4 linked regions of the Notamacropus eugenii genome follow. The protein of the gene in region 3 purifies or fractionates together with the protein of the main gene of each other region. This does not show direct contact. Links are inferred from orthologs where the notes say so. Each region holds a gene or a part of one and is shown on either strand. Other genes may lie near its edges.

Region 1 (7,681 bases), on a different chromosome or scaffold from region 3:
ATGGCATGTTAGAAAACACAGATGTCCTGGGTCATAATTTCAGTTGACACTTTGTCAATTCCCTTATCTCATTGTATTTACCACTTATTCAATTAAGAAAGTTCCTTTCTCATAATATGGTTAATTATATATGGAGATCATAAATGTGAGTGACACAGACATGCTGAGTTGAGATTGTTCTAAAATGTATTTAAGCCTGGTCATTCTTGTCTCAAACAGTCAGAACTTACATTTTGTCTCTTTGTACATACAAGCTCATTAGCTTAGACTAACTTTAAGGGAATAAACTATAAATTTACATATCACCTAATTTGTTTGCCTCCTTTAACCAAACTTTCAGGTCAAGAGGAGGCAGAGTCAAAAATGACTTACTTAAGTGACTAGAAGCATAGTGATACTCCTGTCAAAATAAGGAAGTTCAGGAGAGAAATGCATCCTGGGACGAAGATAGTAAATTTTGTTTTGGGGACATAGGATAATAGGTTGGGAGTTGAAAGGAACCTCACAGATTATCTTATCCAACTCCTTCACTTAACAGAAGAATAAATAGAGGCTTCAAAACATCATGTGACTTGCCAGAAACCACAGAGGCATCATCCCTGGTGGTATTTTGAGAAAGACCTTACTAAGTCCCAGGTCTCAGTTCTCTATTCATGATACCACCTTGTTGCTGTCTGGTTGTTGAGCTGTGTCCCTCTTCCTGACCGGATGGATGATATCATGACAACATTGTCCATGGGGGTTGTTGGTAAAGATACCAGAGTGGTTTGTAATTTCCGTTTCCAGTATTACACCACCTAGCTGCCTTCAAAATCAGAGTTCAAAATACCTTTGGGTGTCCCCTTACCCTAGCTGTGCCCATTCAAAGCAAACTCAACTGCATACTGGAGATCGTTGCCTGCCTGGCCTCCTGGTGAAATGTTAAAATCTTCCAATACTTTGCTAGATAGAAGAGGAATCAGGAAATCTGGGTCCTGAACCTGTTATCCTTTCTATTAATCCAGTTTCCTCTTCCTCTTGTAAGACAGTGAGTTCCTTTCACTTTTTTTAAAGGAGGTAGGGGCCAGTAAGGTCCCTAAGGTGGAATGGGTCTGGACCCTGTGATTTTACATATTTTACACCAGGAAACTCTGGGTATGAAACATCCTCCTACCCCCTAGCAGATCTGCAACTCATCTGAATTCTTCAAGAGAGTTGCCTGAGGCATCCGAGGTTAGATGGCTTGCCAGTGGTTTGAGCTAGAATGTATCCAAGATGAAATTGATTCATTCTATCTCAAATGAGAGATTGTGTGCAAAACATTTTATGAACCTTGGAGGTTTATATACAAACTAATGTTCTCATACTGCTTAATAAATGTAGAATCGAAAAAATGGAAACAAAACCTGCCTATTCTCTGTCACAGTTGTTTTGAGAATCAAGTAACATTTTTTTTTCAGGAGGAAGAGATGATAAGAATAATTGTTTCATTTTACAGATAGGGAAACTGAAGTCTTGAAAGGATTCTGGGGATGGAAGCCAAAGACAAATTGCAAACCATTGTCCTTAGTGGAGAGAGGTCAACAGATATGGATTGAATCCCCTGCCCTGTGTGACTTTGGGCTAGTGACCTAACCTCTCTGGGACTCATTTTCCTTCCTGAAGACTACATGGTTTCCAAGGTCACTTCCCCTGCCCTTTTTTTTTTTTTAATTTTTATCTTGTTTTTTAATTAACCAGCATTACTTTTTCTCTATCCTGTCCGAAAAATAGTTAAAAAAAAAAAACAACAACCCTCCTAAGTATCTATGGTGAAGCAAAACAAATTCCCATGTCTAAAAATTTATCTATTCTACATTTTGAAGCCTCTCTGTCAAGACATTGGTAGCATGCTTCATCATCAGTTCTCTGGAATCAGTTTTCATTGCCTTGATGTTGTTATTTTGTAAATTGGCTTCTGCTCACTTCACTTCATCAGTTTATACAAATCTTCTTAGGTTTCTCTGAAACCCTAGAATGTCCCTCAGGGTGAAATGATATTCCATTATATTCATATACCATAATTTGTTAGCCATTTCTCTAATTGATGGGCAGCTAGGTGGCACAGTGGGTAGAGTGCTGGGCCTGGAGTCATCTTCCTGAGTTCAAATCTGGTGTCAGACATTTAGTGGCTGTGTGATCCTGGGCAAATCATTTAGCCCTGGTTGCCTCAGTTTCCTCATCTGTAAAAGGATTTGGAGAAGGAAATGGCAAATCACTCCAGTATCTCTGCCAAGAAAACCCCAAATGGGGTCACAAATAGTTGAACATAGTAATTGATGGGCACCCCTCTCCCCCTAGTTTCTAGTCCTTTGCCTCTACAAAAAAAGAGCCACCATAAATATATTTACACATTTACAGCCACTAACTCCTGCTTTGATTTCTTTGAGTGTATAGGCCTAGTAGTGATATAGCTGGGTCAATCAATCAACATTTAAGTGCCTACTATGTAACCCAGCTCACACTCTCCCTTCTGTCTCCCTCTTCTTTTCCTTTGGGTTTAGTGGCCAGATGTCTCTCCCTTCCTCCCTTCCTTCCTTCCTACCTTCCTTCCTTCCTTCCTTTTCTGCCAAACCTTAAACCCAGTGCATTTGGAAGCCCATAGGTTCCACAACAATAGGTCCCTGCCCAAGCTCCACTTAATGGTGGGCTTAAGAGTGATTATCAATAGTAACAGGTTCTGTTTCCCTCCCAGTTACTTTTTCTTTCCCTCATTACAAGGGTCATTCCCTGACCACTTCTTAAAGAGGCCTATCTACTCAATGGGTCTTACCTCCCCCCAAGTAAATACTGAAAAGGCCCAGCCTAAAAAAGTCAAGGTCTCCCATTGTATACTGGGCTGTCTCCAGTCATCCGGATGAATCACTGGATTCAGATGGCTCTGGAGGAGAAGTGAGGCTGGTGACCTGCACAGTCCTCCCTCACTCAAAACAAAGTCAAGTGCAAGTCATGTCATCATTTCTCTGATGGCGTGGTCTTCTTGGAAAACGAAGGATGAACACAGTGCTAGAAGGAGAAAGAAATGGCAAACCAGTCCAGCATCTTTGATAAGAAACTTTAAATGGGATCATGAAGAGCTGGCTAAGACTGAAACTACAGAAAAACAAATATGCTCCAAGAATTGTGCTAGATATACAAAACAAGGCAAAAGCCCAGCCTGCCCTCAAGAAACCAACAATCTAACAAGAAAACATATATATGTATGTATGTATGTATGTATGTATGTATGTATGTATGTGTATATATGTATATGTGTGTATATATGTATATGTGTGTATATATGTATATATGTGTGTATATATGTATATGTGTGTGTATATATGTATATGTGTGTATATATACGTATATATATGTGTGTATATATGTATATGTGTGTATATATGTATATGTGTGTATATATACGTATATATATGTGTATATATACGTATATATATGTGTGTATATATGTATATGTGTGTATATATGTATATGTGTGTATATATGTATATGTGTGTATATATACGTATATGTGTGTATATATGTATATGTGTGTATATATGTATATGTGTGTATATATACGTATATATATGTGTGTATATATGTATATGTGTGTATATATATACATATATATGTGTGTATATATGTATATGTGTGTATATATATACGTATATATACGTATATATATGTGTGTATATATGTATATGTGTGTATATATACGTATATATGTGTGTGTATATATGTATATGTGTGTATATATGTATATGTGTGTATATATATACGTATATATGTGTGTATATATGTATATGTGTGTATATATGTATATGCGTGTATATATACGTATATATATGTGTGTATATATGTATATGTGTGTATATATACGTATATATGTGTGTATATATGTATATGTGTGTATATATGTATATGTGTGTATATATATGTATATATATGTGTGTATATATGTATATGTGTGTATATATACGTATATATGTGTGTATATATATATGTGTGTATATATGTATATGTGTGTATATATACATATATATGTGTGTGTGTATACACACACACACACACACACACACACACACACACACACACAGCAAGTATATCACGGTGAGGTCATTTTGGTCCTCTTCGAGAACCAAGGACAACAACCAACCAATAAGTAATGAGCAGAAGGAAGGCACTGGAATGAAGAAGCTTGGGAAAGGCTTCCTGCACGGTTAGAACTTAAAGGCAGCCCCCCAGGGGGCCTGTTTTCCCCTCCTCCCTGGGCCCGGGTGCATTCCTGAGTGTTCGTCCCGCCCCCAGCCCTTCACGCTCCTCCCTCCCCTCCCTTCCTCGTCAGTTTCCACCTGGAGTTTAGGCACCGCCCCTTCTCCTCCTCCCACCCCCTCCAGGCGGCTCTCGCGAGATCTGGAGGCGGAAGTCTCGTGCGCTCCGGGGCCAGCACCGCCCGCACGTGCGTGGTCTCCGCGGCTGTTGTGTCTGCCGCGGCCGCCGGGGCTGCGGGTCTGAGAGCCGGCGCCATGGGGAGGCTGCGGCGGCGATACAACGTCAAAGGGCGGCAGCAGCCGCAGCCGCCGGCGGGGTCCGAGCCGGAGCGGCCGGGGGTGCAGGTGCAGCTGGAGCTGGACGGTAAGGGCCTTCCCTTCTCCGAACCTCGGGCTTCCAGGAGCAGCCCTCCCCTCCCAGCCTCCGGTTGTTCAATCATGATTAATGGGTTAAAAAAAAAGGCCTCTCTAACCAGCAGCCACCCAGCCTCGGCTTACCCCGCTTCCCTTCTCCGGGCCTCCGTTTACTGACCTGCAGAATGGGGCTCCGGAGCCCGTGTCCCGAGGCTGGCCTCAGGCTGCTCCTCTGTGAGATGGGGGTGCGGATGCTCAGCTGTCTGTCCTGCCTGGAGGGGTGGGGGTGGGGGGTGAGGGCTGTCGGTATTTGCTATCAGCTCCTTGTGACCCTGGACCAGTCCCCTCTCCGAGCCACCCTGACCATCCCAGTGACCACTTAGGTGTCCACACGGCTTTGGGCTCCCAGAATCACGAATTCTCAGAGTTGGAGGAGATCCTGGGATCGTAGCTTTAGATCTAGAAGACGTCTTAGAGGTCATGGATCCAGCCCTGTCATTTGACAGATGAGGAAACTGAGGCCAGAGAGGTGAGGTGGGCTTGCCCAGAATACAGAAGTGGCCCTGCTGGGGTTTGAATCTAAGTCCTGAGGCCAGATCTGATATTCTTTAGGCTGTCAGCATGGGATGTCTTTTGGCTTTCCTTGTATTCCCCAATACCTGGTACATAGTAGGCACTTAAATGGTAGTTAATTGACTAAAGGACTTTCCATTGAGCCCCGGTGCCCCCCCCCCATCCCAGTTAGTTCAGGAATCTCTTTGTACAACATACAAGACCGGCTCTGAGCAGCCTCTACCATGAGGCACTCACAGTTTTCCCCCTTTTTAAGCCCAGATGTTTGTCTCTGCATCTTTCTCTCATTCCTTCCAGGACCAGACAAAACAAGTCTTCCTTCATTCCCCTCCTAAACAACCTTGGAGGTTTGCTGTCACAAATCCCTTCATTACTGTCTCTCCCCCTTCCTCTCTTCTCCCCCTAGTCTTTTCTCCTTGTTCAACAGAATCTTTTGCCTCCCCTAGGTCCAAGATTCTGGTCTGAACATTGTCCCAGCCCCTCTTCCTGTGGTCACCACTGTCCCCAAAGTGAGGTACCTAGAATGGACCACCTTGCTCTAGATCAGCCTCACCAGACAGAGAACAGAGATCGTTCTCCTCTATCAGTTTGTGGTCCTGGCCTCATAAGGTAGCCTGAGATGGCCATCCTGGAGTGCTGATCAGCCTCACACAGCTGGCTTGACTGTGCACCTATACACCCTGAAAATCTCATTTTGTCTTACTCAAATTGTTCTCCTAATATTTTTCCCTGTCCCATACTTGTGTGAGGGTTATTTCTGAACCTGAAGCCTGTATTTGAAGATGTATGTATATTTGTATGCATATTTGCATACATGTATACATGTGCCTGCATATATGAGGGCGTGTATTGTGCATACTGTACAGATGCATACACATGTATATACACATGCACATGTGTGCTTGCATATATTATATGTGTGCGTATATACACACATGTCTCAGCAGATAGGTCACTGGGCCTGGAGTCAGGAAGACCTGAGTTCATGTCCACCATCAGACACTAGCTGTGTGAGCCTGGACAAGTCACTTTAACCTGTTTGCTCCGTTTCCTCATCCTTCAAATCAGCTGGAAAAGGAAATGGCAAAACACTCCAGAATCTTTGCCAAGAAAATCCCAAATGGGGTTATGAAGAATCAGACACAGACTGAAACAATAGCAGAAGAATGTATACACACAGATAGGTGCTTTTGTATATGTATGGAGGTAGCGCAGTGGATGGAATGCTGGGTTTGAAAAGGCTGAGTCCAAATCTGGCCTCTGACACAGTAGCTGTGCGACTGAGCACACCATTTAACCTCTGCCTACCTCAGTTTCTTCAGGTGTAAATGAGGATAATGAAAGCACCTGCATCCCAGAATTGTGAGGATCAGATGAGATCCTTGTGAAGGGCTGTGCAAACCTTAAGGCTCTGTGTTATAAAGGTGAATGAGGTGCACTGATCTCAGAGGTCACAATCAATCCACAGAAATTTATTAAGCACCTACTATGTGCCATGCCAAGTACTGGGTTACGCAAAAAGCAGCCCCCTGCCCTCAAGCTGCTCTTAGTTGAAGTCCTAAAAATGGTGATGTTCTGAGGGGCTGTTGTCCTAGAGAGGCTATTGAAGGCTTCCTCCTTCCTAAGGGCAATGTGGCAAAGCTACAACTTCTTCCCCCTTTCCCAGAATCCTCTCCACCTTACGTGCCTTAGGGATCCTCCACCTAGAGCTGGTAGGGCCCATTTATGGATGAAGGGCTGATACTAGAGGGACCCAAGGGTAAATGGGTAGGAGGCGTCAGAGGTGGGATTCCTCCCATTAATGGCCCCCAGGTGAGCCCAGCCCTTCAGCAAATCCCAAGTCCCCAAGTCCTCCTAAGTGTGTGGTGTCTCCCAGCTCACCCCTCTCCTTTTTTCCATGAGCTGCTTTATCTGAGGCTTTGCCAAAGTCTAGGTCAACCCCAGCTCCAGCATTCCCTTGGTCTCTCTGCCCAGTTAGTTGCTCCATCAAAACAAGAAAATAAGGTTGTCCTGGTATAATTGGATGATTGATTTTTCTCATATAAAATCCTTCCTGATATTCACGTCTTTGCTGTCTGCATGCTTGGGCTCCTGGGGCAACACTGGACTCTGGCTCTTCTCATCCTGTGCCTGTTCATGCTGGCCCGCTCGATCTTGGAGATCTCTGTGGTCTGGGAGGACTCAGGCATGGGTGTCCTTCCAGACAGGGGCCTTTGGAAAGGAGTGGATGAGAGCAACGTGCTTGTCCTGCCTGGACGGAAGGAGAAGAAGAAGAAGGCCACACCCACTGTCAAGAAGGAGAAGAAACCCCTGACCAAGAAGGAGAAGAAGCTCCTCCAGAAGGTGTTGGAGCAAAAGAAAAAAAAGACCGAGGTATGGGCCCCCCCATCAGGGAGGGAGCAGCTCGGTGCGGCACCAGGAATGGGGGAGAGGTGGCCCTTCCAGGCCTTTAAAAGTGCTGTCTAAATGTGGCTCTGGTTCTGGTA
Region 2 (8,295 bases), about 4.9 Mb from region 3:
TAAAGTTAACACTTTACTTGACATTCAAGGCAGAAAGTAGAAAAGAATTTTATTACAATCTCAAGAGAAAGGGCCACTCCAATCCGACCAGCAGTCAGGGAGAAGCAGCTTACAGAAGGCAAAAGTGTGGTTATATACTTCTAACACGGAAACTCCCCCAAACCACCCCCCCCAACAGCTGACCCTTTTCCCCCCATTGACTGGGGGTCAGGCTTACAATCTAAACACGGAAAACTAATCCCCTTACACGGAACAAGGAAACAGAAGTTCAGCCAATACAGATTTCAAGCAAAATTCATAATCGTTTTTGGATTGCGTGGGCTGAGGTGGCACTTGGGTCTTGGGTTTCATAAATTTCGGGTTTCTATTAATCATGTCACTTTAGGGAAAAGGAAACTTAGACCTGCTTAATCTGGCCATGTTACTAAGAAGTATTCACCTATCCCACTCACCTATCTTCCTCCAGTGCCCTAGTAAAGGGAAGATCCTATGGCAGAGAGATTATTTGCATGTGTATGTTTGTCCTTTGCTGCCAAAGAAGACCATGCCATCAGAGAAATGATGACATGACTTGCACTTGACTTTGTTTTGACTGAGGGAAGGATGTGCAGATCACCAGCCTCACTTCTCCTCCAGAGCCATCTGAATCCTGTGAGCAGATATTCATCAGGATGACTGGAGATGACCCAGGATGAGGCAATTGAGGTTAAGTGACTTGGCCAAGGTCGCACAGCTAGTGAGTGTCAAGTGTCTGAGGTGAGATTTGAACTCACCTGCTCTATCCTGCTCTATCCACTGCACCACCTAACTGCCCCACTAGTGCATGTAACTCTTCAGTTAAAAAGGAAATTTCTAACATCTCTTTCCTCCTTTCCTAAAATGAAAAGATGTATTAATATTGACTTTTTGGATTAGATATTCATTTACTGATACCAAGATTTAATTACTCCCAAAACAATTCTTCAAAATTATTTCTTATTAACTGTCATATCATTAACAATTTTATAAACTGACAAACTCACTGTGAGACCTTGTGGAACAAGTCACGCCCCCTCGGTGAGCCTAAGTCTCCTCCTTCCTTACGCTAGATTATTGCTGAAGTCTCTTCCAGCTCTGACATTCCATAGGTTTGTTTCTATGAAAACCAGTACCCCAGAATTCTCAAATACGAGAAGAAGTTTAGGTCTGCAGGAACACCTACGCTTACACACAGGAAGAGGATTCAGTGCTTCCTTCGCTCATAGACCTATTTGGGCAGACTTGGGATTTAGAAGTTGTTGCATATTTTTGAGGTAATGGCAGGAAAGAGGAATGGTGCAGGGGCCCAGCTGCCAATTTCAGTCTCCCGAGTAAGGATTTTCCTGATCAAGTAGTACAGTCAATGTGGTGTCAGTACAGGTAGCCCTTGCACCATGGGCATTTGGGACTGTTTACATGTCAGAATGAAAAGCCTTTAGTTCCTGGAGGTATAACAGATGCAGCCAGACTTTGGAATCAGGAAATTTTTTTGTTTCTGGTCATACTCAGCATCTGTGTAACTGTGGGTAAGTCAATAATAATAAGGCTCTCTGAGCCTTATTTCATCATCTGTAAAGTGGGCCTATCTTAAGGGTTGTGGCATGTCTCAAATGTATGGGCAACACTCCCTCTGGCCATTTCCCCAATTCTCATTTATATTGGCCAGCTGAATTCCCGGAGTGACTATCTACCACTTTCAGTGTCTTAGGGGTAGCTGTGAGGAAGTGAGTTTCTAGCTCAGGAGCCCCCACTGATGTGCTTCCCATTGATAATCCTCTAATGTCCTCAAAATAATTTTTAATGAAGGTATTTACTATGATGGTATAGACTTGAAATACAGTGGCAAGAATGGTAGCTGGGGAAAAAAAATCCCCCCCCCCCCACCTCTGGGTATACTCCCCAACAAAAACACACAAGATTGATGGATAGAGCAGGTAGAAATGTAAAGCACAAAGGGTGTGAGGCACACATGGCAAAGGGGTAATTCAAGATTCCTGGTTAGTAGTAGTCTGGTTCTTCTTTCAAAGAATCTTCACGAAGTTCTCTTGAGGAGTAGCAGCATCTGTTGGGCTTGGAAGGTCAGTGACTTATAGAATTAATAGCTGGTCAGTTCTCTCTGCCATGAGAGTTTTATGGTCTTTGATGCCTCCCTGCCATATGTACTCTCTGCTACTGGCCTAGTAGCTGGATAAACTCTATTATTGATCCAATAACATCTTTACAATACCATGGTTAATAGGTAGCGCAATTCCCTCTTACAGGTTTGGATAAAACTTGAATCCACAGGATTGTAACTCTTCTACAACTAGGGTCCCAGGTATATTTCTATTTCTATAAACACAGGTTTTTCCAGTGTGATGTCATTTATCTGTCTTCATCCAATGATCAGTCCTACAATTCTTTCAAATTGATTAATATACCTATAGTTTACACTTGTGATTGAATGATTCAGTCTAATAGTCTACTCCTTCTAAGACTGCATACTAATATATGTAAATCACTTTGAAAACTTTAAAGGGCTATATGTTATAGTTATTATTTCTGTCTCTGGAGAATTAGGTCACAGAGGATAGATGCAACAAGAAAACTCCTTCCCCCCTAAATTACCACTAATCCAAGTAGTGCTGAGCCAGTGTCTCCATCCTGTACAGCGTGATCTGCTCAGCTGTTAAGGCTTTCAAGTCAGGATGGCAGAGGAGGAGGGCGATACGGATGAGGGAGATGTGTTCTTGGCATTTGCCCAGGGACCTACTCCTCCCAGGGGCCCCTTTCTTCGGGCACTAGATAGGGCCTTTTTCATTTTTCTTGCCCTCTTCCTGGCAGTGCTGATGCTAGAGGCTGCCTACAAGTTGCTGTGGCCAATACCCTGGGCAAACCTCTGGGGCTGGCTGCTTGGAACACCTCAAAGAGAAGAGGAACTGGAGCTGTAATCACTGAATGACTCCTCCCTCTCAACTCAGGTGAGAAACAGGACCAGAGATTGAGGTTTCCTGGGAGGAATCATGTGAGACGGTGGTAAAGGAGTAGAGAATAACAGGAAAGGAAGAGAGAAGAGGGAGCTCACAGTGAACGGCTCCCATTGCTTCTGTAAGATATCAGACAAGTTTCTGACAAGGTGGGGGGAGGGGAGGGCCATGGGAGGCTCCAAAGATGAAAAAGTTTGGAAGAGCCCTGGGTGGAGGGCTGACAGCTGGGAGCCCCTCATGGAAGGGGAGCTAATAATAATAACTAGTATTTACAGAGAACTTGGAGGTTTACAAAGTGCTTTGCAAATATTATCTCATTTGTTCCTGATTATACCCCTGGGAGGTGAGAGGTTCTATTACGGCCCCTATTTTAAGTAGGAAGAAATTAAGGCAGGCAGGTTTTAAACAGCTTGCCCACGAGTGTGCGGGGCAGGACTTGAACTCAGGCCCAGCATTCGGTCCTCTGCGACACCCAGCTTCCTCGGATGATCTAGTTCACCTGCTACTTTATAAAGGAGGAAACTGAGTCCCAAAGAGGGGAAGACATTCGAGCTGAAGCAGAACTAGAGCCCAGGGCTCCTCCGTAGCTAGGACACTTGAAGAAAGAGGGGGACATACCCAGGCTCCGTGGGAGGTAGGAGGGGGCGCCCCCGCTGCCCCAGTCTTGTTAACCCTGCTTTCTCCCCCGCCAGGGACCAGAACACGCGCCAGGACCAGTCCTGTGTCCCCCCGGCCTCCCCACTCCCCCCAATAAAGCTGGGGTTCTGTGAGAAGCGTCAGCCTCCGCTCCTTTCCTCTTCTCTCCCCCCCACTCGCCCAGGCAGAAAGAGGCCATTGGTTTTTTAAAAGCCTCGTTTCCAGTCTTGGACTCTGGACGCCCTTCACCTTCCCCATCATCACTAAGTGCTCAGGGTCCACCGGCCATTCCCACAGGGCGGTCCCCTCCAGCCCCGGGACCCCCAGATGAAGAGAGAGTCTGAAGCAAGAGCTCCCCGCCCCCACCCCGCAAGGCGAGACGGGCGCATCCCCACGCCCTGGAGGCCGCCATCTTGCGGTACGGCAGGTAAGCCGCAGCGCCGGGTGTGCGGGGCCAGCTCTCCCGTCCCTGGGTTGCCACGGTGACCTTTGAGGGCACTGACGCTGAGTCGGCGTTTTGCTCTTCGGCCCCCAAGGTTCGAGATCGCTACTGTTTACATGACTCTCCTGAGCGGTGGAGAGAATGATTACTTACGCGCACACATTCCGTACGGAGAGGAATAATCCCGATTCACAGAACCCGCAGCCCCCAGGCCGGTTCTTGGGGCTCCAAGAGGCGGTTTGGAAGGTCGGAGTGGCCTGGGCACGCACCAGAGGTGGAGGCAGGGTCAGACAGCAATATAAGCCTTGGAAGAAAACTTTCCCTTCGTAGCTCGCCTAAGTCCTTCTGGCAGGCCTGGGACAGACGGTTCCTCCCCGCAATGGACCGAACGGTCCACTACAGTGATCTCCCCGCCCCCCTCCATGCACCCTCCCACCCGCCAATACTAGTTTGGGAGCGCTATTGGGCAAACGATAGGGAGAGCAGAGGGACGCCGGTGTCTGATTGGTGGAGCAAGGGTTCCATCTCGTGACCACGGGTTGGCAAATCCCCGGAGGTATATCCATTCCCCACTGCCTGGCCTCGATTAGATTGGGTTCCCTCAGTCTTGAGGAATGCCGTACGGCAAGATGGCCCCCCCTTTCCCCTCAAGGACTTCCGAGTCCTCAGGCCTCAGAGAAGCCCTCCCCTCTGAGGCATTTGGTCGGAGTGGGCCAATGAAACCACCGGGAGACTTGCAGTCCGTCTCCCGCAGAGGGATCCAGCAGGTAGTTTGTGTGTCGTCACTTCCTATATCCCTCGGTTGACTCCATTAGGGTGGGATGGCGGCGCCCAGGGACGTACGGGGCGGGGCTGAGACATGATCGCTTCCGTTCCTGCGCGTTGTCTGACGCGGGAGGGGGGGCGGAGAGTGTGAGAGAGAGGGAGAGGGAGAGCTGAGGGTGACGGAGCGGGGGGCAAGGGGGAGGGGGGAGGGACGGACAGCGACGGTGGAGGCGGCGGCCGCGGCGTAGGGACTGTTTCTGAGGTGGGGGCCTCACGAGGCAGGCGGGAGGAGGGAAGAGTCTGAGGGGAGGACCCGGTGACAAGGCTGGGGTGGGGAGAGGGGGAAGGCGGCCGGAGACTCTCCCTTGAGGAGGAAGCGCGTGCGCGCACGGGGGCGCGCGCGCATGTATATATATATGTGTGTGTGTGTATGTGTATGGGAGTGAGTGCGAGAATGGGGGGGCGGGGGCCCAGAAGCGCCTACGGGGGGGCTTGGCTAGGGGCTTCTGCGGTCCGGCGAGGGGGCCGTGAGCGGGGACCATGAGGACAGGAGGAAGCGTCCGCCGGGCCCGTGCCCAAGGAAAGCCCCGGGACTGCTGCGCTGCTGACAGCCCCGAAGGGAGAGGCGAGGACAGACAGGCAGACAGAGAGGCTGGGTGAATGAAGATTTGAGGAGCGGAGCAGAGAGAATCGGTCTTTAACGGGTGTGAGATGGGCCGCACGGAGGGCAAGGATGGCAGCCCTGCTGGTGCCTGACACAGGGCTGATGTTTTAAGAAAGAATAAGATCCTGGTGGCTGGCAGCAGAGAAGATGGGACCGGAAGTGGAGGGGAGAGGATTGAGGGTTGGAGCCAAATGGGTGGGACTTTAGAGTTTTGGGGTGGGGAGGAGGTTGGGGGCCTTGGAGAAAGCTTGTGGAGTCAGCCTTGTCTCAGAGGACTAGACACTCTCACGACAGGGAGGTCAGACCGAGAAATCCTTGGGTAGGCAATGAGCAGGGGAGGGGGGAGCAGGCATCTATTGAGTAACGTGAGACTGATGCTATAAGGTGTGAGAATGGGGGGGATGTCCTGGAGGGGCTGTCTCTGAGGCCCCATCCCCCCCAGCAGGATTCCTGAAATCCCCAACACCCCCACCAGGGGCTTCGCTCCCCCCATGGCTGCCGCTAACAGCATTATCGTACTGGATGATGAGGAGGAGGATGAAGCAGCTGCCCAGCCAGGGCCTTCCTCTCCACCCCCAAATCAGGCCCAACCCCTGGCAGCAACCTCTGATTCTCCCCAGTCCAGTGGGGAAGGCAGCAGCAGTAGTGGGGGCAGCAAGAAATGCTACCAGCTGGAGAATGAGAAGCTGTTTGAAGAGGTGAGCTGCAGGGGAGAAGGTTCTTATGCACCAGGGAGGGGGAGCCAAAGAAGCTGTCCTTAATCACTTTGTCCTACTAACTCTATCTTTCTGTTTTTCTCAACCTTCTCCCTTGTTTCATTTCCTCCAATCCCTCGGACTTCCCCCTTCACCCTCCCCTGCTCCACCCCAGTTTCTTGATCTGTGTAAGAAGCAAACTGGAGAACACCCTGAGGTCGTCCCATACCTCTGTAACCGAAGGCAACGTGCTCGTCCTACGTTCCTGGCCTCAGCTGAGCTCCGAAATGTGCTGTCTCGTGTCCTCTCTCGTGCCCAAACCCGGCCTACCAAGCTCTATGTCTTCATTAATGAGCTTTGTACACTGCTCAAAGCGCACTCGATCAAAAGGAAGGTGCCCCTGACCCCTGCTTCCACTGAGCCCCCTGGGGATGCACCTCCTGCCAATCCTTCCTCCAACCCTGCCCCTACCAATGAAACTGCTCCTGGCTCCCCACGACCCCGAGGTTCACGGAGACAGATCCAGCGCTTAGAGCAGCTGCTGGCATTGTACGTGGGAGAGATAAAACGACTACAAGAAAAGGAGCTGGACCTATCGGAGCTAGATGACCCGGACTCTGCATATTTGCAGGAGGGGCGGCTGAAACGCAAGCTGCTAGGACTCTTTGGGCGTCTGTGTGAGTTAAAAGCATGTAGCTCCCTGACAGGCCGTGTGACTGAGCAACGGATACCCTATCGGGGCACTCGATACCCAGAGGTCAACCGCCGTGTGGAGCGTCTCATCAATAGGCCTGGTCCAGACACCTTTCCTGACTATGGGGATGTCCTTCGGGCTGTGGAGAAGGCAGCCACGAGACATGGCCTCTGCCTCCCAAGGCGACAGCTCCAGCTTCTCGCTCAGGATGCCTTTCGAGATGTTGGCACCAAGTTACAGGAGCGGCGCCATCTTGATCTTGTCTACAACTTTGGCTGTCACCTCACAGATGACTATAGGCCAGGTACAGGGAGTGGGGCCACACACACTAGACCTGTGGGGAGGGTGTTACTCCTTAGGCTTTGGAGCTAGGCGTTCTGGTTCCATGTCTTCACACTGCACACCTCCCTCCTACCTCAGGCATTGACCCTGCATTGTCAGACCCTGTCCTGGCTCGTAGGCTTCGGGAGAACAGAAACTTGGCACTCAGTCGGCTGGATGAAGTGATCTCTAAATATGCAATGATGCAAGATGAGAGTGAAGAGGGTGAGAGACAGAGAAGGAGAGCCCGGTTTTGCCAAGGAAACTCTCCTCACAATGAAGACCTTCCAACAGCATCCACAGACTCGGGAGAGGTATGGAGGCAGGACAGGGGATGCCAATGTCAGATCAGATATTTCTGAAGGACTGAATCCTGCCCAGGTCTTATACAGGGAATCTGTGGGGAAGAGAGTAACTGGTTGTGGGAGGTGAAATACTCAGGAGAATAAAGATTTAGGAGAATGGTTTCATTAAAGGCCTTCCCTCTCTTGCAGGGCCCTAGTGGAGAAAAGTCCACATCCTGCCCCACTGTCTCCAAAGTTGAGACAGATGAAGAGGAGGAGGAGGAGGAGGAGGATGAAGATGAAGATGATGATGATGATGATGAAGATGAAGAGGAGGAAGAGGATGAAGATGAAGATGAGGAGCTCACCGATTCAGAGGAAGAGATGGAAGAGAGCCAGGAGGGCCCAGGGGAGGAAGATGAGCCAGGTATTATGTGAGGATGCCATTCCCAAGTACCATTCCCAAGTTGTTTTCTCCCTCCATATTCAGTTTCCCATCTTGCACTCCCATTTTCTTCCTACTGTTAACCACTTTCCATACTAACCCTGCCTCCTGTTTGTTTTTTACAACTTTCAGGTAAGAAATATGTAGCTTCTCAATCTCCATTGCAGAGGACTGCTGAGCAGGATCTGGAGCCTGAACAAGGGAGCAACAGCAGCAGCTCTTCAGTGGAGGATGACGAAGCAGGAATGTCAGGGTCGTACTCCCTACCTCAAAGGAAGAAACCTGTTCCCACTTGCCTTGAGAACGAAGACAATGGGGAACAGCTCCCACCAGAAGAGTTGTCCCAGGATGTTGAAAGCCCAGCC
Region 3 (7,214 bases):
GATCAGGCTCAGGCTCCTTCCTTGGCCAGAGATGCTGGGCACAAACACCTCAGAGAAGCCAACGAAGAACAATAGGGCAATGGGCTTCCAGGATAGAAAAGGTCCACTGGAGCCTGACTGGTGGAAGGCACAGTTTTACAATGGAGGTCCATTCACTCCTGGGTGGTAGAAGGCACAAAGATCCTCATAGCGACAGTGGCCCTTTGAGAAATGTCTGCAGACAGGGCGGTTGGATTTATCTGTGGAAGTGAGAAAAAGGCAGTGTAAGACTTTGGGAAGACAAAAACTAGGACACCTCTGGGATCCTGAAGGGAAACAGTTTAATAACTGCTATAGTCTTCAGCATCCTAGGATAATGTTTTGAGAGAGGAAAATTGAGAGGTACCTTCAAGGTAAAGACAGAAGGGCTTCTGGGATTTGTACTTCTGGATGTAATTATGTGCTACTAACAGGAATAAAATATACAGGGTGATGGCACTAACCTGTTCTATCACCTTCCTGGACTCCATCCTTGAATTGAGGGGCGTTCTTGGGCCAGGGGATGTTCTTAGATGGATGGTGACTATTGCCCCCTCCAAGGTTTCTCCATCCATTGGGAGGACCATTCCTGGCATGGTCCCCATAGCCTGTTCCCCACCTAGGTTCTGGATCCTCATAGGCCCAACGGCTATGTGGGTATGGTCTAGGCCTGGGTCCTGGGCCCCCTCTCATTGGGCATCCTCCCCAGAAAGGAAGTGGAAGGCTCAGGAGTGGGGGAATCACTGGTCCCCTTAAACTCTGAGGGCCTCTGTGGAAGCCTAAAGAAAGACAATGAAAGATAATCAATTGAATCCAGGAAAACCCAGAAATTATTTTTCTTCTTGAGTCTCATTCCCCACTTCTCCCAATCCCCCAAACCTCTTTCCTACAGGAAATGCTGAAGTGCCTTGCATGTAATATGCACTTAATGTGTTAATCCAAATCAATCTAGACACCTGTCCTTTTAGACCCTTTCCACTCACCTGGATCAGGGCCACCAAACTTCCCATTGGCTATGGGTGGAGGGCCCAGGAGGCTGGGTGGACCTAAGAGAACAGGAAGAAATAGGTTAAGCAAAACGTAGCAAGGTCTAACTTAGTAAAGTCCAGTTTACACAACAACTCAGTACTATTTTTACTGAGTTCTCCTTTCTTTGTGCTACTACACCTACAACTCAATAGCACATGGTTATACAAACAGTTCAAATCTTATTTTCCCTCTACTACTAGCAAGCACTTAAGGGCCTACTACTATCTATGTGAAAGGAATTATCCATAGTATAAAGACTAGATGAAAAAGTCTCCGCCCTTCAGATGTTTACTTTCTGTGGATACATACAGAATCAAAATGATGGCCTGAAGCAAAATGTATCATGCTTTAGTAGAATCCAAAAAAGCAAAATCTGTTATCAAGATGTCGAAAAAGAAACGAGAAAAACCAAAGGTACCAAATGGCACAGCCTTCAATCAAAGGAAGGCTGACAATAAAGCAAAGAGACCTCAACATGTTTTCCTTAGTATGAGTCTCCTTTTGTTATCATCCATTAGCCAAAATTTAAGAAATGCTTTTCATGCCACAGGAACTATGGATACCAAACACATGGGGAGTAGTAGCTAGGGAAGGAAGTTTTTGATTTAGACAGTCAGTAAGACTGTCAAGCCCAAAGCAGCCCTGATGACACTGACTGAGTTACTGGACAAGTACCCCAAACAAGATGTGAAGGGGAGAGAGACAGACAAAATGACAGGTGGCAAACCTGTGACAAAATTCTTCCTCCTAGGCCCTCGATTAATGGGGTGTGGGGCCACCAGAGCTGAAGAAGACGACTCACCCTCCAAAGTAAGCAGATCTACCCAAGTCCCAAAACGAACCCTTCCTTATAAATCTCTGGCCTTCCTGGGAATTCCTAGCAACCTTCTCCTAACTCTCATCTAATTTGATGGACTTCTCTCTTCGCCATCCCCTAGTCCTCATTTCAGTTGGGAGAGGTCTAGAAACATTTGCATTGATATGAAGTGTGGGAAATCATTTAGCCCACTCCCTACACAATCCAACACAGATGAGGCAAATGAGACCTTTCTGCACAAATTTGCAGGTAGTCAACAGCACGGGTTAGAACTCCCGACTCCTCATACAAAGCTCATTCATTACTAGCTCTTCTCATTCCCATCATCTTGAACTACCAAACTTTATTTTATTCTGGATCTGTCTCACCCTTGGGGCTGACAAAGAGGACCAGAAGAGACAATGGGGGAAGGGTAGGAAAACTGGCTTTTACAAATTCTCTCCCAATTACAATGGGTAGGAGTGGGAAGGCGAGGGAGAAAGAGGATGCAGTTGCCCGGGCAAACTGCTTTTATTCGTCTACGTCAGAGGCTCTGGGCAACATCTTTAGGCCGGCGCTCTCATGGACTTTTCCCGGCCGATGCTCCGGACGCACCACTCCCCTATTCCCCCAAGGCACGTGCATCGGCCTCCCCCTCCCTTCCTCCCGTTCGCGGGCGCGCCACAGCACCCGGGTCGGCGCATGTGCGCGCTTATACTTCTAGCTCTCCCTGCCCTGCAGTCCTTAAAAAAGGAAGGGGAATTCTGCTCTCGCCAAGCCTCGCCTCGCGCTATTCTACGGGAAGATGCAACGGGTTCTTTCCCTTTCGGGCAGCACTAATCTCGCCTTCTCCCTCCACGCCCGAGGGATCTTTATTTGTCTCGTGCCCCTGTGCCAGGCCTTCCTCAGGCGCATGCAACTCTCCCTTACCAGCGGGGCTCCCACTCTCCTCATCCCCACTCTCCTCGGGGTCCGGTGGCCGCTGCTTCCCCCTCTTGGGCATCACAGCCAGCGTAATAGCAACGATCAGAGTCGGGCCGGTGGGAGCAGGGGGCGGTATATGGAGGGAGAGAGAATCCGATTATTTCCGCTTCCGGCAGACCCATCCAGAAGCGGCGAGTGCGCAGGCGCGTGCCTTTCCCACCGTGTAGCGTTCCAATGTAAGCTCACACTCCAACCCTCCCTTCCTCCTCACCCCCTTCCCCCCTCCTACCTAAGGGAAAAAAAAACCGACATCACTTGGAGGCGTAGCCTAGAGTGGAGAGGACCGCGGTCCAGAGCGTTGGGACAGGGGGGAGAAAGAAGTCAAGCAGCGTGGTAACCTCGGTAACCTCCCACAGCCCACGCCGCCGCTTCATGACCTCTGACCTCCCCCCCAGCATCCTTAGACCATCTCAGTCTCAGTGCCTCTTAATTACAACCTTTTAAACATCGCGATTATGTGGCCTACTCCCACCCAAGTTTTGGGGTTTTTTTTAACTTCCACTAGGTGCGGTGTCTCGTGGCTCCTCTGAACATGACCTCTGACCTTCTCTGAAGGGATCTCCAGGGCAACCTAGTACTTCATCATTCTTTCCTCTCTCCCCTCCCCCCCTTTCCTTTCAGCTTTGTTCAGCCTCCTTGCTCGTCCAGGTCACTTTAGTTTAGCTTTATGCTCTTCCCCACCTCACAAGTGGTAGAGTCCATTCACCCCACCAGGTGAGTGGGTAGAGTCTCTCCAGGAACGAAAGGTAAGGATGGTTCCCTCGCCCCCTTTCTCCGAATGGGAATTGGTATCGCCCGTGACGAAGTCAGTACCGTCGGTCGGCGCTCCGGCGCGGCTCCCTCTTCCACACCCCCAAGAACCGCCCCCCTCCCTCCCCGGGACTCCTGAGGGACTGGCGTGTGGCCGGCACGTCGCGCGTCTCTCTGTCCTTGCACTTTCTTCAGCCTCACACACACTCTTGTACTACTGGAGGGAAGTGATTGAACTTCCCCACCCAAATTACATCGGTGGCCCTTTCTGTGTTCCCCTACCCACAACGCACTCCCCCCTCCCCGAGGAGGAGAGACTTGGTCTGACCCTCCGCGTGACGTCACGTCGGAGCCCCGCCCCCAAGGGTCCCGGGCCCTACGCGGCTGGGGTAGCCCGGGGCGGGGGGGGTGTCGGTAGAAGCGAAACGACGGCGGCTGGAGCCCGCAGAGGGCTAGAGATCCACGGGAGCCAGGCCGGGCCATGCCGAGGAAGAAGCCTTTCAGCGTGAAGCAGAAGAAGAAACAGCTGCAGGACAAGCGCGAGAGGAAACGAGGTAAGGGAGGGAGGGAGCGGAGGGGGGCGGGGCCTGAGTCTCCTGTACATCTGGAGACAGGGATGAACTCTACATCTGGGGCCAGGGTGGAAGGTGGCGGGCAAAGCCAGCCGTTTCCCATCGAAAGGAGAAAGAAGAAAGAACCTCCCACCTCCCCCTCATCTGGAAGAGGAGGGAGTGGACGGAGAGCCCTTGTCCGAATCTGGAGAAGAGGAGGATCCCTTTAGTTGGAAGAAGAGGGGGCCCCGTATCTGACGAAATGGATGCTGGAGATGGGAAAGAACTGGCTTCTCCCTTCTGGTCCTGGGAGGCTTCTGTTCTGGGTGTGGAGAAGGACAGAGAAACTGGGTCCAGAGGCAGAACACTTGGGTCGATGTGGGGGCAGAAGCTGGGTTACCAGGGGAGAGCTGGACGAGTCAGACGCGGGCGCCCGTGTCTGAGAGCTGGGCGTCATGTGCCTGCCTGCAGGGCTGCAGGATGGGTTACGCTCCAGCTCCAACAGCCGCAGCGGGAGCCGGGAGCGGAGGGAGGACCAGACGGACACCTCTGATGGAGAATCTGTGACCCAGCAGATCCGGCGTCTCAACCAGCAGCCAACCCACGGCTCTGGCCTTCGCTTTGACCCCAATAGGTAAGGGTGGGGAACGCGGCACTTGGGATTTTCCCTCATTGTCTTTCTTGGCAGTAAAGGAGGGTAGCGCGTAGGTGGAGGCCAGTGAAGTAGAAGGCTCAAGATAAACTGAGATAAAAACTCTGTAGGAAGGACTTTGGATTCCTTAGTTATCCTGAGGCAATTTGTTCGGATTTATTGGGAGAGGGTGGAGAAGAAAGATTTTATTTGTAGAAAAGGGGACTTTGGAGACAAGCAGAAGATTAAGATACCGGGATCCTTACCGAGAAAACATGCCTATAATTTTGAAGGGGAATCCGGAAAATGATGCCTTGTGGACACTCTGTACTAAGTTGAATACTTGGGTCATCATCTCCCCAGATACCGATTACACTTTGAAAGAGAAAGCCGGGAAGAGGTGGAACGGAGAAAGAGGGCTGCCCGAGAACAAGTGCTGAAACCAGTCAGTGAGAAGTCTCTGGAGCTTGACATTGGAGACATCTACCATCCAGGCTCCAGTAAGGATTGAGATGCAGGGGAGTAGAAGATGGGAGAAGGGAGACAGCTGGCCAAAAGTGGTGCTGAGAGCACCCATGCTTCCCTTCTTCTTTACTTTCTCAGACCTAGATTTTCCCCGTCGGCCCCCTTGGAACTATGAGATGTCCAGGGAGCAATTGATGAGCCAGGAGGAACGGAGCTTCCAAGAGTATCTGGGGAAGATCCATGGGTCCTATACCTCTGAGCAGCTCAGCTACTTTGAACACAATCTGGAGGTGAGATAAGAGCAGGGTATTATATCATCCACCTGAAGAGTTGGACTGTCCCTGAAGAAGGGGGAGTGACACATGGACCTTTGTGGAGTTGCTGGTGCATGGTTGCAAATTACCACTGATCTAGCAGCATAAGGGTCAGATTTTCCTCACCTATTTTCTTTTAGACCTGGCGACAGTTGTGGAGGGTGCTAGAGATGTCTGATATTGTCCTCCTCATCACAGACATACGCCATCCAGTAAGTGAGAGAAACCAAGCAAATGGGGCAATGGGTTGGTGAAAATTAAAAGGCAAGAGTTGGGGGGAGGGGTTAGGAAAAGATTTTTTCCTCACTTTTTAAACCTGAATTCCATAAGACAGGACTCTAGTCTTTTTCTATTTAACAGCTACTTTCTCAGCCAGTCCAACTACCTTTTGTAGCTTTGAAGGGTGGAACAAATTCAAGTGCTTCTCTAGGAACCAGCTAAGTAACTCTTGGGGACCCTCTGTTCACATCCCTTCCTTCCTTCCCAACACTTTCTCCCCTGCTCTGACTTTTCAGACTGCTGTGAATTAAACAGCAGCACTTCTCCAGTTGTAACTTCTTTCCAGTTTAAGAGTAAGGGCTTATTTATAGGTTTCTCTTTTGGTAAGAAATAAGAACTTTTCTATCCTCCATCCTGCCTCTGCTGTTTATCCAGTTTACCTGGTCTTCCTGTTTCACTTTTCCTATCCTCAGATGTCTCTCTCTTATTCTCTGTTGCTGACAAACTAGCCTTTCCTCCCCCAGAATACCATGTATTTCTTTCTCTCAAGTGTTCTTTTGGGATTTCTTTTGTTCTTTGCATATCTTTTACTTATTTGGTTTTATACTATCTTACAACTACAGAAGTTGATACCTGTAAAATCATTCCTAGTAGATCAGAGAGAGAGGAATTGAAGGTTCCTAGGTAACTTATTCTCATTCCTACTTCTTCATACCCTCTTTCCCCCATCCCCCGCAGGTCATCAACTTTCCTCCAGCCCTTTATGAGTATGTGACAGGGGAACTAGGGCTGTCACTGATACTAGTGCTGAACAAAGTAGACCTGGCTCCCCCAGCTCTTGCCATAGCCTGGAAGTATCACTTTCGCCTGCACTACCCCCGGCTCCACCTTGTTCTTTTCACATCTTTCCCTCGGGACCCCCAAACCCCACAGGATCCAAAGACTGGTGAGTGAAATTTGGAAAACATAGGGATATATGGGAGAACATATGAAGCCCTCTGAGGGACACAGTTACAGGGGCTTTATGGAATGGAGGTAGCAAACAGAGGTCAAGGATGATGGGTGGAGCAGGAGGAAGAGACAGGATCTGGCCCTCACTGTCCCTTCACCTCTCCCCTTCTATTTTCAGTCTTGAAGAAGCGCCGGAAACAAACAAGGGGCTGGACTCATGCCCTGGGACCAGAGCAGTTGCTAAGAGCTTGTGAGACCATTACTGCAGGAAAAGGTCTGAGTGTATATTTGAGGAAAGGCCTGAAGAGGGTTGGGGAGGGTCTGGGGTTCTTCCTTTGCCTCTTACCAGAAGTCAGCCTGTCAGTTATGACGTTTTTAGGAGAATCAAGGGTACTAGCAAAACTGACTAGAATATCTTCCACTGTCCAAGGTATATGTGAGCAGGTGGGGCCCTTGGGAGTTTTTTTTTCCTCCAGCAAAATCTTCTTGGTTCCTTTTTCTTTTGA
Region 4 (7,239 bases), on a different chromosome or scaffold from region 3:
GCCCTGGGTCTGTGGAGTCTAGTGCAGTCTGCAAAGTTACTTACAAGTAGCCTCAGAAATAGCTACACATAGTCTCAAACAAACTAGAGGGATGACAATTTATTTAGCTATGTTAAATAGCTAAAATTTATTTAGCTATTTAGAGAATAGTTAAATAAATAATGAGCTGCTAGGTGGTGCAGCGGATAAAGTGCCAGGCCTGAAGTCAGGAAGACTCATCTTCCTGAGTTCAAGTCTGGTCTCAGACGCTCTACTAGTTGTGTGAACTTGGGCAAGTCACTTAACCCAATTTGTCTCAGTTCCTTATCTGTAAAATAAGCTGGAGAAAGAAATGGTAAACCACTCTAGTATCTTTGTCAAGAAAATCCTAAATGAGGTCACAAGGGTCAGACATGGTTAACAACAGCAATAAACAAAGTATAGCATATGAATGTAATGGAATATTATTGTGCTGTAAGAAATAACCAAATGGACAGTTTTAGAGGAAACTGGGAAAAGCTCTACGAATTGATGCAGAGTAATGTGGGCAAAACTAGAAAGATTTATATGACAAGAACACTGTATAGAAAAATAACTCTGAAAGACTTTAGAGTTCTGACAAAATGATAAACTGTGAGTCCAAAGAAGAAGAGATGAAACATATCACTTATCTCCTGCCAGAACTGATGGACTTAAAACGTAAATGAGATGTACATTTTTGGCTTTGGTCAATGTGGGAATCTGTTTTGCTGGACTCTGCATGGCCATCATGAGGATTTAAAAAAAAAAACTCCATAATGGAGTGTGAGGTATGGGAGAGCTAACGCTCACAAAATCAACTCATTAATTAATTAAAAGAAATAGCTGTTCATCAACACTGAGGCAAGTAACAATGTGTGGCAGATCATAACTCAAGTCTGAAATCACTGATACTTCTTTCTGCATTTGTCCTGAAGGAAAGTGTGCTGGGAAATCAAGAATGTCATAACTGTGCGAAAACACTACTGGAAGCTAGTTCAAATCTAGGTTAAGTCATGGGTGTGACAGAGGAATGTGTGTGGGTGGGATTTCATTCTTCAGTACAACCTGGGAAGGTTCAACACATTTCCTGATCATTCCTGATCCAGATCATTCTAAAGGAAGAGAGAAAGGTCTGGATATCCAGGCATCCCCTGGTATGTGATGTACAACAGAATCAAAGATGTATGATACTAGTATAGTAATGTGTTTATCAATTACCAAGTGTTCTGCACATATATTTCTCATTAGGTCTTCAGACTGAATACTTGTAATAAGTCATATGGGTATTAAATAATTCCCATTTTACAGATACATCTAACTTCTGGCTGTAAAGCGTTATTTATGACTGATTTCACCAAAGACATATTGGAAGATTAAATATCTGTCTGTAAAGTTGAATCTTTGCTCTCTGAATCAGTCCAACCTGGCTTCTTCCTTCGGCTCATCTAAGCCTTTACCTGTATCCTGGAGTTTATTTTCCAGCTCTACTGCTTTTCTGCGCAGCTCCTCAGGTTCCATAGGAAGCTTCCGACTCCAGAGGTAGTTGGTGAGTGTCTGAACTTGCTTCTCTATGTTGGGCAGAGAGCTTTCTGTGGGTCAGACATGAAAAGGGGCTATCAGTGAAATGAAAATTCCTTTCTTTTCTCTGCTTATTTTCTTGATCAAGAGAGTTGCTCACCCTGCAAGAGCCTCTGGGCTGCAGTGACCAGGGCTTGTGGCAGCTGCACTTGGGACAAATGGAGGACCCCTGGATGTTTGCGGTGGGCTCTCTTCCCCAGGAAATCCAATATATCATTCTCCTGGGACACTCTGGGACCAAGGTCGGCAAGCGTCTGAGGTCCAGAAAGAGGAAAACCGAATGAGGTTAAGTTGGCGAAGGAGGAAATCTGGGTAATAACAGCTCACTTTTTATGATACTTTAGGATTTTGAGGAATGTTTTATGTGCATTATTTCATTTGACAAAAGCTCGGCACAGCACAGACTGAGACTTCTTAAACTGCTAGTCCAGAGGCACGTTCTGGAGGATGGCAGCATGGCAAGGTAGAAGGGATCCCACACCTGTCCTTTATTACCTACAAACTCTTTGTAAAGCCAGTGGTTTGAGGTAGATATCCTCTAAGACCTCCTTCTAAATCTGCTTCAGGACAGGCATCTCCTCCAGGGATGGGGGGTTCTCTTGGCTTGGGGAGTGGGGTTGTCCCCCCAAAGGCTGGCACCTCAAACGTGAAGCCAGTGGCTTGAGGTAGATATCCTCTAAGACCTCCTTCTAAATCTGCTTCAGGACAGGCGTCTCCTCCAGGGATGGGGGGTTGTCTTGGCTTGGGGAGTGGGGTTGTCCCCCCAAAGGCTGGCACCTCAAACGTGAAGCCAGTGGCTTGAGGTAGATATCCTCTAAGACCTCCTTCTAAATCTGCTTCAGGACAGATGTCTCCTCCAGGGATGGGGGGTTCTCTTGGCTTGGGGAGTGGGGTTGTCCCCCCAAAGGCTGGCACCTCAAACGTGAAGCCAGTGGCTTGAGGTAGATATCCTCTAAGACCTCCTTCTAAATCTGCTTCAGGACAGACGTCTCCTCCAGGGATGGGGGGTTCTCTTGGGTTGGGGAGTGGGGTTCTCCCCCCAAAGGTTGATGCACAGCTGCCCAAGGATTCGGCCCACCCCACATGCTCAACAAGTGACTGCCCTGGGTCCGAGAAGGCCTCGCTGTGGGTGAGAACGCCTGGAATGAGCAGGGCTGATGGATTCTGACTGGGGGCTGCTTCTCTGGGCCCAGGAAGCCCGGACAGCCTGGATCAGACTGGGTGCAGCCGCAGGCTCTGGCCTCGTTCGGCCCCTCTGGCCTCGTACACGTGGAGAACGCATCTACATATATTTGCATATTTGATTCCCAGACTCCCACTCTCCTTTCTCTCTCCCCGCCCTCCCCCCCGCTTTCATCTTCCCTTTTTCTTTTCTATCCCATCCTCTGCCTCGCTCTTCCTGTCTCCGTCCCTCTAGGACTGTGTCGTGTGCGATCACAGACACGCGTGGGGATGGGGCGGGTGGGCTCCCCCTCAAAGGCCTTCCCGACGCGACCGAGCAAGGCTGTTTTCAGGAGCGGACCAAAGTTCTCACCCGGAACAACGGGGTTCCCGCCGGCGAGCAGCTCCACCTTCCCACCCACGGCAGCGGCCTCAGCCTTCTGGTGGCCGCCATGACTCCTGAGGCGAACCGGAAGCGGAATTGGAGACGCCCGTGACCCTCCGGGGTTACCTAACTCTTCCACATCCTCCAGAAGAGCTGGACACGTCATCAACCAATCGGGACAGGACGATGATTTCTAGGGGCCAATCGGCGGTCTCTATGTAAATTTATGGTGACGCAAGAATGTTTTCCCTGGTGAGAAGATGGACACGTGTCAGATTTAGCCAATGGGAAGAAAGCGCAGCGTGCGCGAGGGTCTCAGGGGGAGGCAGTCTTTGGCCCTGTGTCAGTTTCTTGCAGGAGTGTTTTTTTTTTTTTTTTAAAACCTCTGCGGTTACAGTATTGGTTTGTTCGTTACATTCAGGATGACGTCATCCAGCATCTCTTCTGAAGTTTTACATGAACAGATTGTATAACAAAACGGTACTCCCTTGCAAATGCTGTAGAATCACCAGAATGCTGTTTTAAAACAGTGGCCCCTGAGTCATCCTGTCCAAACCAAAAATGATTGCCTAATTAGCAAGAAAGCACGTGGTTAGTTTTAATTAGTACAAGTTAATTTGGTTTGGTTTGGGAAGGGAAAAATATTTGATAAAACTAGGTGGTCTTGTAAACATTTTACCTTTAAGACCAAATTTTAAGTGTATTTATCACAACTGAAATATAAAAAACCCTACTAGGAAAAACATTTCTCTTTAAAAAAGACTGCATATACTTTTGTTTAGAACTGGCTTTTAAATAAAATCTGGAAATCTGGATTTACATAGTTAGAAATGGTCCCAAATAGAAATTTCATGTTTCCCAAAGACTGGTCTTCATCCTATATATAAGTCTACTTAGTTTAGTATGTCCAGTGCCAAAGATTAATGTGTTAGTCTTATTTTTCAGTTCACGTTTTTGAGGCACGTTCTGAGCTGTTTTGAAACGTGAGGATTTATAAACATAACTTCAGTTACATAGTAATAAAGTTATAAATGTATAAAATCCCCACATAAAGATTAGAAAATGCACCCTTCTGTTGGTCTTTCAAGGATGGAATTTTAGTATGTTTTACTCAAATAATTCCATGCTGCAAATTTATTTCTTTTATTTTTCCACTTGGCCAATATTGTAATTGGATAGAATACTTCATCATTGTCAAATCTGGGTTTATTAACTTTTGCTTTCCAACTGAGAAAAAACATTGTTTCTATAAAACTTTTATTACTGTATCATGAGTATGCAGATCAAAGCTTTTTAATTGGCTAACTATATGAAAAGATGACCCAAGTGGATATACAGAAGCAAAGATGAGCTTCCCCTTAAAAAGAAAAAAAAAATTTTCAAGAGCACCTATGAAAAAAATGATACTAATTAAAAATATCCAGTGTGACAACAAAGAGTCTCTCAGAGGCTGTTTTTTAGAGGAAAGGTGAAGTCAGCATCTAGTTGTTAATTGGAAAAAAAGAGTAATAATAAAGAATTGAATTTGTAAAGTCTTCTCATATGCACTTATCACCTTTGAGTGTTGCAGGAATTGTGAGATAGGATGAGTCACACTTATTTTGAAAAGAGGAATCTTGAGTATAGGTAAAGTTAAGTAACTTGCCCAAGGGTTTCTTCTCTGAGGTAGGTGTTAACTTCATAGTTTAGCACTCAGTGATTTCAAATCCTCCCCTTCCTCATTTTTCTCATTGCAAAGGAGGGAGAATGCAGTTCCAGGGAGAGTTAGGAAAAAAATGGCATGTGATTGAAGGACATAGAGGAGTGTACTGAACTAAAGTGTAGGCATTGTAACTGTTAAGTAGGGATTTTAATGGAAGGCACCAACCATCCTGCTTGCAATGAAAAGTGCACCATAGGACTTTGGACTTTATTACTACCGGGACATCCTTTTGTTAGTCACTTCCATTACTGATTCAGTTTCCTCATCTGTAAAATGATGAGATTGAAAAAAATGATCTGTGAAGACCCTCTGCTTTCTTGTTTCTTGCTTCTGTTAGTGAACAAGCATGTATTAAGTGCCCAATATGTGCTAAAGACTGGGGATACAAAGGCAAAAATGGTTCCTACTCAAGGAGCTGGGGAGACAACATGTAAACCACTATGTGCCAAAAGAAGATATAAACAGAATAAATTGGAGATGATCAACAGGGGTGAAGCACTAAGGTATTAAGAGGAATTGGAAAAGCCTTCTCATAGAAGGTGGAATTTTAGCTGGAACTTGAAGGAAGTCACAGGACAGAGATGTAGAGAAGAGTATTCCACGCTTGGGGGACAACCCATGAAAATGCCTGGAGTCAGGAGACAGACTGTCTTGTGAGAAGAACATCATGGAAGGCAGTCTCACTGGATTGAGGAGTACCTGGAGGGGAGTAAGGAATAAAGAGATTGGAAAAATAGGAAAGGTCTAGGTTATGAAGGGTTTTGAAAGTCAAATAGATGATTTTATACTTGATCCTGGACAGGATAGGGAGTCAGTTTATTGAAAGAGAGAGAATGGCATGGTCATACCTGTGTTTTAGGAAGATCAATTGGATAGCTGAGTGGAGAATGGACTGGAGTGGGGAGAGACTTAAAGCAGGGAGATCATGCAGTAGGCTATGTCAATAGTCCAAGAGGGAAGTGTTAAATGCCTGTATCAAGATGGTGGCAGTGTTGGAGGACAGAAGGGGGATATATGAAAGGTGTTATGAAGGTAGAATTGACAATATTTGGCAAACAGATTAAGTATGGAGGGTTCCCTAGGATTGTGAGTGTGAATAACTGGAAGGATAGTATTATCCTTGGAGATGCAAGACTGCAGGTTAGGAGAGAGATTAGGGCTGGATAAGTAGATCTGGGAATCATCAATACAGAGATGATAATTGAATCCATGGGAGCTGATGAGATCACCAAATGAAAGTGTATAGAGTGAAAACAGAAAAGAGCCAAGGATAGAGCCTTAGGGGATACCCCTGGTTAGTGTATATAACATGGAATGAAGATCCAGCAAATGAGGTTGAAAAATAATGGTCAGGTGAGTAGGAGAACCATAAGATCACCAAGTTAGCAATATCAAGAAAAACTAGAGAGCAGAGGGTATCAAGGAGAAAAAGGGGATGGGCAGCGTCAAAGGTTGCAGAGGACTCAAGAAGGATGAAGATTGCCACCCTAGTTCTCATACTGATCTGGTACTAAGAAGAGTGGTATGGGATCTTTTCCCCACCAACATCATAGCTGGGGCAAATGAAGCAGAGAAAAAGGGCTGAGGATGGGGTAGCTATAAGATGGGCAGCTAGGTGATGCATTGAATAGAGTGCTAGGTCTGGAGTCATGAAGAGCTGAGTTCAAATCCATCCTCAGACCCTTCCTAGCTGTGTGACCTTAGGCAAGTCACTTCACCTTGTTTGCCTCAGTTTCCTCATCTATGAAATGAGCTGGAGAAGGAAATGGAAAACCACTCCAGTATCTTTGCCAAGAAAACCCCAAATGGAACCATGAGGAGTTGGATATGACTGAAACAACTGAGCAACAAAGGGAGAAAAGTCTTTGCCTAGAATAATGCAATATCTCCACGGGAAATTTTAGACCTAAATCCATGTGCCCCTGGCTCCCAGCCTGGGGCATTGTCTATTTCACTGCTCTGAGAAAAATACCCTTCTTACTTGGTCATGGATCAAAGACATACCAAGTGTATATTTAACACTAAGCACTGCACACAGTGCATAGTACGTAGTAAATGTTCAATAAATATTTATTGATGATGATGATAAAATGAGGTCTCCAAGTCTCAGGGGGTGACCTCTACATCTCTTTGCATGGAGAAGTCCGGATAGGGACTGATCAGATCCACACTCCCCTGGAAGCGGCATAACATAAACCCTCATAACATTTTACCTGCAGAAACAATTCATACTCTAGTAATTCTCCAATATTTATGCACCCATATTCTATACTATAATTAATCTTCTGAGGATCCATATTTTAAGAGGAATGTGGATAAACTAGAGAATGTTCAGAGAAGAGAAAAAAGTTTTTGACAAAGGAGTGTGAGTGTGTGTGTGTGTGTGTGTGTGTGTGTGTGTGATTAGGTGAAT

The links.
Region 1: the proteins of PRR3 (region 3) and DHX37 purify together in Homo sapiens (co-immunoprecipitation; 3 studies listed by BioGRID and IntAct, with this or other methods). This does not show direct contact. The link is inferred for Notamacropus eugenii from reciprocal best matches to the Homo sapiens genes PRR3 and DHX37.
Region 2: the proteins of PRR3 (region 3) and DAXX purify together in Homo sapiens (co-immunoprecipitation; 3 studies listed by BioGRID and IntAct, with this or other methods). This does not show direct contact. The link is inferred for Notamacropus eugenii from reciprocal best matches to the Homo sapiens genes PRR3 and DAXX.
Region 4: the proteins of PRR3 (region 3) and METTL17 purify together in Homo sapiens (co-immunoprecipitation; 3 studies listed by BioGRID and IntAct, with this or other methods). This does not show direct contact. The link is inferred for Notamacropus eugenii from reciprocal best matches to the Homo sapiens genes PRR3 and METTL17.

Annotation. Positions count from the first base shown.
Region 1 is NC_092875.1:40,533,811-40,541,491, reverse strand, and holds the start of DHX37 (probable ATP-dependent RNA helicase DHX37), read left to right. Parts: upstream 1-4,417; 5' UTR 4,418-4,523; coding exon 4,524-4,632; intron 4,633-7,398; coding exon 7,399-7,568; intron 7,569-7,681. UniProt on the Homo sapiens protein: ATP-binding RNA helicase that plays a role in maturation of the small ribosomal subunit in ribosome biogenesis. Required for the release of the U3 snoRNP from pre-ribosomal particles.
Region 2 is NC_092873.1:89,342,211-89,350,505, reverse strand, and holds the start of DAXX (death domain-associated protein 6), read left to right. Parts: upstream 1-4,998; 5' UTR 4,999-5,089; intron 5,090-5,936; exon of another isoform or gene 5,937-5,966; 5' UTR 5,967-5,982; coding exon 5,983-6,189; intron 6,190-6,361; coding exon 6,362-7,184; intron 7,185-7,300; coding exon 7,301-7,515; intron 7,516-7,695; coding exon 7,696-7,912; intron 7,913-8,062; coding exon 8,063-8,295. Other genes in the region: SMIM40 (small integral membrane protein 40), read left to right, coding at 2,706-2,948. UniProt on the Homo sapiens protein: Transcription corepressor known to repress transcriptional potential of several sumoylated transcription factors. Down-regulates basal and activated transcription.
Region 3 is NC_092873.1:84,447,504-84,454,717, reverse strand, and holds the start of PRR3 (proline-rich protein 3), read right to left. Parts: upstream 3,081-7,214; 5' UTR 2,847-3,080; coding exon 2,774-2,846; intron 1,065-2,773; coding exon 1,002-1,064; intron 798-1,001; coding exon 483-797; intron 240-482; coding exon 136-239; 3' UTR 1-135. Other genes in the region: GNL1 (guanine nucleotide-binding protein-like 1), read left to right, coding at 4,059-4,131, 4,600-4,762, 5,123-5,259, 5,363-5,514, 5,679-5,750, 6,496-6,703, 6,887-6,982.
Region 4 is NC_092878.1:12,958,602-12,965,840, forward strand, and holds the start of METTL17 (ribosome assembly protein METTL17, mitochondrial), read right to left. Parts: upstream 3,250-7,239; 5' UTR 3,194-3,249; coding exon 3,113-3,193; intron 1,833-3,112; coding exon 1,679-1,832; intron 1,590-1,678; coding exon 1,458-1,589; intron 1-1,457. UniProt on the Homo sapiens protein: Mitochondrial ribosome (mitoribosome) assembly factor. Binds at the interface of the head and body domains of the mitochondrial small ribosomal subunit (mt-SSU), occluding the mRNA channel and preventing compaction of the head domain towards the body.